Arabidopsis thaliana: one gene and its partner. The protein of the gene in region 1 interacts with the protein of each later gene in a pairwise test. Each region holds a gene or a part of one and is shown in the gene's direction. Other genes may lie near its edges.

Region 1 (3,893 bases):
GAGTATTAGTTTTTTTTCATTACTTGTTACTTGATTTGTACTTGCAAGTATCTAAATTATACTACTTGTTACTTGCCTTGTTAAAAACGAGCATTTGTTTTTTCAAGGCGAATACGAATCAAGTAGCGAATATAAGACGAGTAACGAGTACTTATGTCTAGCCCTAATAAATATATATGTGTTTTTTCAATAACTATAACAAAAATAATCGATTAACTCTTTTGTGCTCAAGTTACTATGTAAAAATTGGTATGAACAACATTAGATACGCATCATGATAATGTTTGTTTAGTGGATAAAAAATCGATTAACAATAAAAAAAAATAGAGAGAGGCATGAAAACGAAAATAAGGAAAAGAAAAAGACTATTCGTTTGGTGTGGTCGACCTGTCCCACACCGAGGAAATCACACTTTTATGACAAGACCTACTTGTCCGTACTATATAACATTATCGAATGATTCCGATTTTCTCTTTCCTTTTTTTTTTCTTTAATACGGAAATTACTAATTAAAAATTAAAAAGCGACCAGACGACAATTCAAGAAGCAAACAAAATTGGTGGTACCGAAACAATAAATCTTTTTTATTTATTTCTAAACAATTATTAATTTATTGAAAATTTCACGAAGAAATGAAACAGAAAGTTTTTCTTGGTCCCACTTAGACGTGGCCTCAATCTTCACATCATGGCCCCACACGCTTCTCACGTGCAACTTAACCAGTTACGACAAAACAAAATTAAGAAACATATTAACTTTAGAAATGTATTTACAATGGTTAAATTATTGTTTTGTGCCATTTCGTTTAATACAATGCACCGCTACATGATCTTAAGATAGCTCACGGAAAATTTAGAAAAGTAAATCACAAGTCCCAAATATGCCACGGTGGAAGATGACATGGCAGATATAAAGCGGAGCTTTGCCACATTGAATAAAATTACGAGAGTAACTTTATAGTTTGTAAAATTAAAATCATGGGAATGGTTTAAATTTTAAATAAAATAAAACTGAAGAAATGAAGAGTATGCATATTTAATACTATCTTTTGATATGAAATTTAATTACAGTAATCACAAAATAAGGAAAAGTTAATAAGAAAAATATGGGTTGACTAAAGAGAGGTTAATTTGGAATCTTTTTACAGAAGAGAATACAGTGAACTAACATAAAAATTTTATTAGGAAAGACAGCTTTACACATTTTTAAAAATGCATTTAAGGAAAAAACAGCTTTGCACCTTTTTTTATAGGATTTGCATCTTTAAATTTTAGAAATAATACAAAAAAGGATGGACAAGAACATAAAATCTAATAGTTTTTTCAACAAAAGAAAAAATCGAATAGTTTATGCTAATATCATTAACATATTAGCAAAAAAAAATTTATTGATTTTATAATGGCTCTTTGACTAGTCAAGCTTGCATATGTTTATGTGGATGTTGCTAAGGAAACATGCATGAGTGCATCAATAAATAAGAAAGAAATATTACAAAAAAAAAACTTTTTACACGTCCCAATATTTGCAAACTTCAAGAAAGATAGTATATATTGTTGAATAAAAACTTAGTATATTTTATATTTCTCTAGATTATATTCCTTTTAAGTTCATAAAATTGGTTGTTTCTTTTTCTTTTTCCTTTTACAAAAATCAACTGTATTTTACTAACATTTAATTTACAAAAACTTTAATTACTAAACACAATTGGTAATATACCATGAAAGTCAATATCTAATTTGAATTCATAATTATTCTAAATATCTAAAATATTTAAATAGTAAAAGTAATAAATATGTATTTATAGAAAATTAAAAAAATATTGACTTTTTTCTCTCCCTTAAATAAAAGCCAATCCCATAGATTTCTTCACCAGTCGCCACAACTCCTCCCTCTTCTCTCTCTCTTTGTTTCAGAATCTCTAGGAGCTTTTTTCAACAACAATGGCTGTTCAAGCTCATCACATGAACATTTTCTCTCAGTTTATATCACCAAACAGGTAAAAATCTCATTTTTATATTCTTCTCACAAACAAACTTCCTCTGTTTTTATTTTCCTCTAATCTTTTTTATTTTTGTTATTTGCAGAGATTGTGTTAAATTTCAAGAAAACATGAACCACGGCGAGTTTGAGTTTACCGGCGGTGAAGTTCCGTTAATAACCGGAGAATCTTTCGCCGTTGAGCCTTTAGCTGCGAAAGCCAACTTCAACAAAGCAGAAAGTGGTCTCAGTTACAATTTCACTGTTCCTCCTCTGTCTACAAAACGCCAGCGAGATTTTCAATTCTCAGACTCAAACGCTCCGGTTAAACGGAGGTCCGTAGCGTTTGACTCATCATCACCGTCGTTGATAAACGTTGAACTCGTATCTCAGATTCAAAACCAACAACAGTCAGAGATCGATAGGTTCGTAGCTCAGCAAACGGAGAAGCTAAGAATAGAGATTGAAGCAAGGCAACAAACGCAAACGCGGATGTTAGCGTCTGCGGTTCAAAACGTTATAGCCAAGAAACTAAAAGAGAAAGACGATGAAATCGTACGGATTCGAAACCTAAACTGGGTTTTACAAGAGAGGGTGAAGAGTCTTTACGTCGAAAATCAGATTTGGCGTGATATCGCTCAAACCAACGAAGCAAACGCTAATACTCTTCGAACAAACCTAGACCAAGTTCTTGCTCAACTCGAAACGTTTCCAACCGCTTCAGCCGTTGTAGAAGACGATGCGGAATCGAGTTGTGGAAGTTGTTGCGGTGATGGTGGTGGTGAAGCGGTAACGGCGGTTGGTGGTGGTTGTAAACGGTGCGGTGAGAGAGAAGCGAGTGTGTTGGTGTTACCATGTCGTCATTTGTGTTTGTGTACGGTTTGTGGTGGTTCGGCTTTGTTACGGACTTGTCCGGTTTGCGATATGGTCATGAACGCTAGTGTGCATGTTAACATGTCTTCTTGACCATCTTTTTTTTTTGTTCGTTACAATTTAATTTATATTTTTTTTGTTTCCTTAGGATTATATTCGCAAAAGAAATAGCAAATTGATTCTTTTCTTTTTGTAAGTACATATAAATTAGTTTTTGGTTAACTCTTGATTTTCTTACGACTTAAATGGAATCCAAGACTGAAAATTGCAAAAAAGAAAGACGAAATAATTTGTCGAAGAGAATTTAAAGGCTCCTCCTCTCATTATGTGTGGGAAAAAAAGAAAGAATAAATCATATAAATGAATTTAAAGTGATTCGAAAATGTTTTGAAAAGTAAATATTCCAGAGTTCTTTTTAAGTTGCACCGTTGTTTGGTTGCTTATTCTCAAAGTCGATCACATGAGTTTGAATTATCTACCACCTTTTAAAGATTATCATAGCGTCGATATAAATTGAAAAAGGTATAAAAATGGTCTATGGATATATACTATTGCAATTTGGAAGTATCCTTTATCTTTCCAACCCCGCAACTATATTCAACCAGAAGAATCATACTTCGCTATCGAAACTAAAATAAATTATGATAAAAGAAAAAGAAATAGTCTGAATTCGATTGTCTCAACGACATTTTCAGTTCATAGTCATTATAGTTGTCGTGTAATAAATATTTCATATTCGGATCATGTCATGTGCAGTGCATGTCTAGACAAAATAAAATACCCCCACTAAAATGGATTTTTAAAATTATATCCTATATTAATTCTATAAACGACGAAATTAGAACGATGAATACGATGTGTGAATTCACGAGTTACGATGATTGCGTCCAAGAAACGTTACCATGTCTCTATCCAATAATTTAGTTTAATTTATGTCTTAGAATTATTTGGATCAAATGGCACGAAACGAAATAGTGGCGAAAATGAAAATGGTACGACTCTGCGATGATTCGTACAGAAATTAATTAAAGAGAGAGTTTGAA
Region 2 (6,151 bases), on another chromosome or scaffold:
TATTTTAGAGAGTGGTCCAATATATTTAATAATGTCGATTAATTTCATAATTTGTGTATTAATTACGTTATACGTTTGTTGGAATAAGTCATGCTACAGTAGAAATAAAAGAAAAGTCATGATTCAAACATATAGAGACTCGTTAATCAATTTACACGATCAGATAAACAAATGATTGTAATAAATCTGATTTAGTGGTACAAATAGCAAACAATAAACGATAGTACTAGTTAAGATGATTAAAATGTAAAAACATACTAAGAAACAAATAGTTGTAGTATATTCTTTTGGTATTACATTTTTTTTTTGTTTTTTTGCAATTGATAACAGCAAAACAATAGTATATTTTTACTATTGTTATAAGCTTTTTACATACTAGTAATTAACCTAGCATTATCTAAATTGTGGACCATGGGATGTCATTTAAGATATGCTTTTGCTTGCAGTTCTTTCAGCATCTTTTTTGTTTGTTTTTGGTTTAAATGCTAAGCATCTATTAATTGTTTCCGATTGCATTTATGAATACAAGCTTACCAAGTTTATGACATTAATATTTTAGGAGAAATTTTATATTTCTTTAAAATTTTATTTTTTTGATGGTTTGTAATAGATAGTTTTGCGAATATATAGTTATATATATATATATATATATAATTAAAAAGATGGTTTTGAGAATGTTTTTTTGAAGCATTACAAATTTCCTAGCTAGGGTATATTCTAGATCATGAGTGCCGGCGAGTACATATATCTATGTATATAAATATAATGCATTATGTATGTATAATGTCAAATTTCTATTTAAATTTAAGTTTTTTGAGTAGTCATCCAATTGGAATCGTGCATGAAGGCTTGAGAGCTTTCAAGTATTTAAAGTGAGATTATACCAAAGTTCACTATTATATCTAAGTTACACAATATCAAGTTGTCTTTTTGATGTTTACAGACTTTGAAAAGAAAAAAAAATCGACAGGACGTATGATAATTGATACGTAGACATTTCCACTTTTGTCTTCTGATACTTGCACAACTTAAGCAAATTAATACTATCATATACACTGGATAAAAGAATCTCTGATTTTTAAAACTCTTCACCTCGCATAGTCGCATATCTAAGCTTCGGAACTCTATTTTTTTCTTAACAAGACACATATAATTAAGCTGAATGTTAAAGTGATATCTAACTAATTACTTAGAAGTTAGAACCTACCTGTGGCTAGTTTCACTAATTTGAAAAGAAACATATAATTCGGAGTTGTATTTAAATTCGTATACGATTCACGACTCAAAATCTAAAATTTGATGACGATAAAACAATAGGTGTCGTGCCTCTTGGGTGAAATAAATTCAGACTTTTATGGTCAAATAAGAACTGGAAGAAATAAGTGGAAAGTAGAAAAAAAAAAAAAAGGGGAATATATTTGTTATTGGCAACTTGTTTGAATAAATTAGAAACCCATAAAAGGAAATAAACATATTGATTATTATAGCACAAAGTTTTCAATAGAAATCAGAAAACGGAAACAGAGTTATTTTATGCACGGAGATGGAAAGTCAGCGGGTCAACTATTAAAACTCAGTGCTTAATTAAGTGGTAAGTGATAATTAACTCTTTACTAAATTATTCCTGCTGGAGTCCTTTAAGGCTTTAACTGATATTTTATCTGGACGGCATCTTTTTCTGCTTATAGACTTCTAGTATTAACTCTTCATCTGGTTCAGTTTTTAATTTTTAACCCTACAATTTTCAATAGACTATATTAATTCTTATTTATAGATTTTCAAATATTTTTGTATTTTTCTTAATTGGTTTAGGTTTAACTAAGACCTCTTTAATTCTTGATATAAAGAGTATTAACTAAAGACGAGAGTGTTTTTTTTTTTTTTTTTTTGCACCAAACCAAGTAACAAGAGGAAACTAAAAACTCTTTTGAAGCATGTCGATCCTAAATTAAGTTTTTTATTTAGTGCTCTTTTATCAACGTGACAGAATATTAACCACAATAACATCTAATTTTAGTATTTCTGTATATGATTTTTTTTTTTTTTTTTTTTTTTTTTTTTTTTTGAAAGTTACTACTCTCACCACATGGGAAAAAAATAGTTTTACCAAAATCTGAAATAACAAAACGAAGTAAGTACTAACAATACCACCGAAGATTTATTGCTGGTCGCGTTTTTTATTACTAAATTTGATGTTTTATGTTTACACTTTGACTGTTTGCCAACCAAAAAAAAAAAAAAAAAAATGTTTACACTTTGACTATATATTTATCATAACTCTAATTTTAATTTAAATATTTTGAAATTATTAATCATTATTATTTATTTGTAATTAGATATACGAAAATATTTTATACATTCATATCATATAGTCTTAACCTTCACGCACATAAAATTATAGTTTTTGTTTGTATGTGCGTATAGTTAAAAATGAAGTAGGCTCAAAACTATGATTTTTTTTATTTTTTTTAAATGTGAAATATTCCATTGATGAATTAAATTCATAATTTTGAAATTTATGTAATTATATGGATACGGAAGGCTATAATGAAATTTGAATGCAAAGACTCACTTCCCCTAAGAGAATAATAATTGTTCAGCCAAGTGGACTACTCGTATTCGATAGTTTTTTTTTCACCTTCACGAATTCTAAAACTTTGAAGAGCTTATAAACAGAATTTAAGAGTACAAAATTATAAAAAAAATTAAATCAATAAACATACAGTTCCTGCTGCCAAAAAATAAAAATAAAAAATAAACATACAGTTCCTATATTACGGCTGTCTATTCCCTTCATCGCACATGTTCCAAATAATTTTAAAAAATAAAAAGAAAAATTGAAAACTATCTTCTTTTTTCTTCTATAAAACCCACAACTTCTCTTTTTCTTGTGCATTCAAAACTCATCCTATCTCTATCTACACATAACTCCAAAAAACAAACAAATTTTCTCTCTCTATCTCTCTTCGCAAAACAACATAGAAAAAAAGTAGAAAGTCTCAATCTTTTTGCTGAACAATCTTGTTGTGGTCTCTTCTGTGTATATCAATGGATGAAAAAGGAAGAAGCTTGAAGAACAACAACATGGAAGACGAGATGGACCTAAAGAGAGGTCCGTGGACTGCTGAAGAAGATTTTAAGCTCATGAATTACATTGCTACTAATGGAGAAGGTCGCTGGAACTCTCTTTCTCGTTGCGCCGGTATGATATATATTTTCATATACAGATAATATAGTTGTATATATCTATTTTCCACTTCCATGAGCATCTTTTAAGCATAAAGAGCCAAAGAACAAGTCGCATAACATAATTGATTTATTGCTTTTTGTTCAATCCTTTTCATGTTTCAATCACCATGTGTGATTTGTGTTTTTTTTTTTCTTTTAAATTGCCCAACCTTTACTATTTTTAAAGATAGTTTTTAGAAAAAATTATTATTCGAAAATGGTTTCTTTCCCTATATGCATATATGAAAAGACCCTTCATAGGTATGAATCAAAAAGTGCATACCTCTCATGTTTTCTCTTTCTCGTCTTCTTCTTATTTCTAAATATAATTTCCTTCCAATAAATAAAGTATTGATGATTTGAGTGAGATCTTTTGGTAATGGATTCAATTATTAACCATCTCAAATTTGAATAAAATATCCAAATTTGGTTATTAAATGGGTGAAAAAAAGAAGAACTAATGCGAATTAATGATCATCATCTATAAGGGAAGAGCACTAACTCAATGGGAGAAAGCTTGCTGAAGAAAAAGACCCTTTAGGACAATTTGCATCATAATACGGTCCATTTTATTTCATTGGGGAATTTGATATAACTTTAACGAAAATGAAACAAATATTATAATGAGTTTCTTCCGTATAAAATCATCATACTATACGTAGACATGACCGACCGGTAAATTAATCCTCATATTATCTTTTACCAATGAAACAGGCCTCCAACGCACCGGTAAAAGCTGTAGACTAAGGTGGTTAAACTATCTCCGCCCTGACGTCCGCCGTGGAAACATTACACTTGAAGAACAACTCTTGATCCTCGAACTTCATTCCCGTTGGGGAAATAGGTATGCTAAATTAAAATAAATAAAACAGTATAACACCTTTTCCAACTAAATTATACAATATGTAGTTGATGAGTTTATTTAAATGAATTAAATCTGGTTTTACATAAAATTATGCATCAAACATATAATAAGATTTTTTTTGTGAATTGGAAATAAAATAACATCATAACTATTTTAAAATGGAGAAAATAACAAATTATGTCGATGTTGATGGATGAAAAGAGATTAAATGTATGATACTGAGATATACTAATGAATAATAATGTTATAGACGCCAAGAAAATAAGAATTTGATTATCACTACTATTAGTTTAGAACCGTTAATTTATATCTTGTTATTTTGATGTAGATGGTCAAAAATCGCACAATATTTACCGGGAAGAACGGACAACGAGATCAAGAACTACTGGAGGACGCGGGTGCAAAAGCATGCGAAACAGTTGAAATGTGATGTGAATAGCCAACAATTCAAAGACACAATGAAGTACTTGTGGATGCCTCGACTAGTCGAGAGGATTCAGTCAGCCTCGGCCTCATCCGCAGCAGCAGCCACCACCACAACCACCACCACCACAGGATCAGCCGGCACGTCATCTTGCATCACAACCTCTAACAATCAATTCATGAATTACGACTACAACAACAACAACATGGGACAACAGTTTGGTGTAATGAGCAACAATGATTATATCACGCCTGAAAATTCCAGCGTGGCAGTGTCTCCGGCGTCAGACTTAACGGAGTACTACAGCGCTCCAAACCCTAACCCGGAATACTATTCGGGTCAAATGGGGAATAGTTATTATCCAGATCAGAATTTAGTGAGTTCACAATTATTACCGGATAATTATTTCGACTATAGTGGATTATTAGACGAAGATCTAACGGCTATGCAAGAGCAGAGTAACCTCAGCTGGTTTGAAAACATTAATGGTGCTGCTTCTTCTTCAGACAGTTTATGGAACATTGGAGAAACTGATGAAGAATTCTGGTTCTTACAGCAGCAACAACAGTTCAACAATAATGGTAGCTTCTGAAGTTAGAAAAAAAAAATAGAAATCGTTTTAAGTTAAATTATACACTATAGTATACGTGTGAAAGGAATTTGTTGTAAGGGAATAATTAAAAACAAAGAATTGTTCATAGGATATATGATCAGGTTTTTTATACCAAGCTTGATCATATATCATGGCGTTTTAACAAAGCGCTAAACTTGATTGGTTTTGTTTTTTGGGGGGGATTGCAATGATATTTTGTGGATAATTGATAAACTTGGATGAAATAATTTATGATTTAATGTTTGGAAAATAACTCATTCGTCGGTGGGACTATGTATACTATAAACATAAATAATGGAAATTGTATTCACACTATAGATTGAGTGATTTCCTCAATGGAAGCATAATATAAAACATTATTCATTTATTTATTATATTCGAACGACGAAGCTCATAATTGGTTCCACCATGTTTAATATTTAACCCAATATATGACACAAACAAACAGAACAAGACATCGTAAAATATTTTTTTAAAGATAGTATAATAATGACTTTGGTACTATAAAATGGATAATCCAAGTGATACTACTTTTTTGGAACTATGTCTATAGAGCATGTATATGGAAAATAAAATGAACTAGTGTGTGGTGTGTGAGTACTGACTGAGTGTGAAAGCCTTTCTTTGGGTTCAAAAGAAGACATTTAGAAATTGATTGTTATATTCCAGAGCCACGTGGCAAAATCTGGTTGGTTCTGATCTGGGCTTTGAGTTTAAGGTGGCCATTAAGGGGTTTATTCATTGAAAAGTTAATTGTTTGTTAAAATACATGCTAAGTGATGATAACCCACCACTAAATATGTCCAAAAAACCCTTAGTTAATTATTGAAAACGCATTATTGTACGGACCGTTACACCAATATGTAGACAAAAACCGTGTCCTTACTCGGCAACACGTCGGCAACACCATGTCTTCTATGTATCCTCCTCTGTTCTCACTCAGTTTTATTAAAAACTCAGTTTAGAAATAAAACGAGGACCCCCAATGTGGGTGGCATGGCATGGTTTGGGTTTTGGAGCC

The links.
Region 2: the proteins of RING (region 1) and MYB108 interact in a two-hybrid assay, tested with the Arabidopsis thaliana proteins (one study listed by BioGRID).

The regions. Positions count from the first base shown.
Region 1 is NC_003075.7:10,712,683-10,716,575, reverse strand, and holds RING (SBP (S-ribonuclease binding protein) family protein), read left to right. Parts: upstream 1-1,830; 5' UTR 1,831-1,940; coding exon 1,941-1,996; intron 1,997-2,084; coding exon 2,085-2,943; 3' UTR 2,944-3,166; downstream 3,167-3,893.
Region 2 is NC_003074.8:2,001,250-2,007,400, forward strand, and holds MYB108 (myb domain protein 108), read left to right. Parts: upstream 1-2,143; 5' UTR 2,144-2,247; intron 2,248-2,626; 5' UTR 2,627-3,048; coding exon 3,049-3,202; intron 3,203-3,942; coding exon 3,943-4,072; intron 4,073-4,421; coding exon 4,422-5,109; 3' UTR 5,110-5,478; downstream 5,479-6,151. UniProt on the Arabidopsis thaliana protein: Transcription factor contributing to the regulation of stamen maturation and male fertility in response to jasmonate signaling. Required for correct timing of anther dehiscence. Acts as a negative regulator of abscisic acid-induced cell death.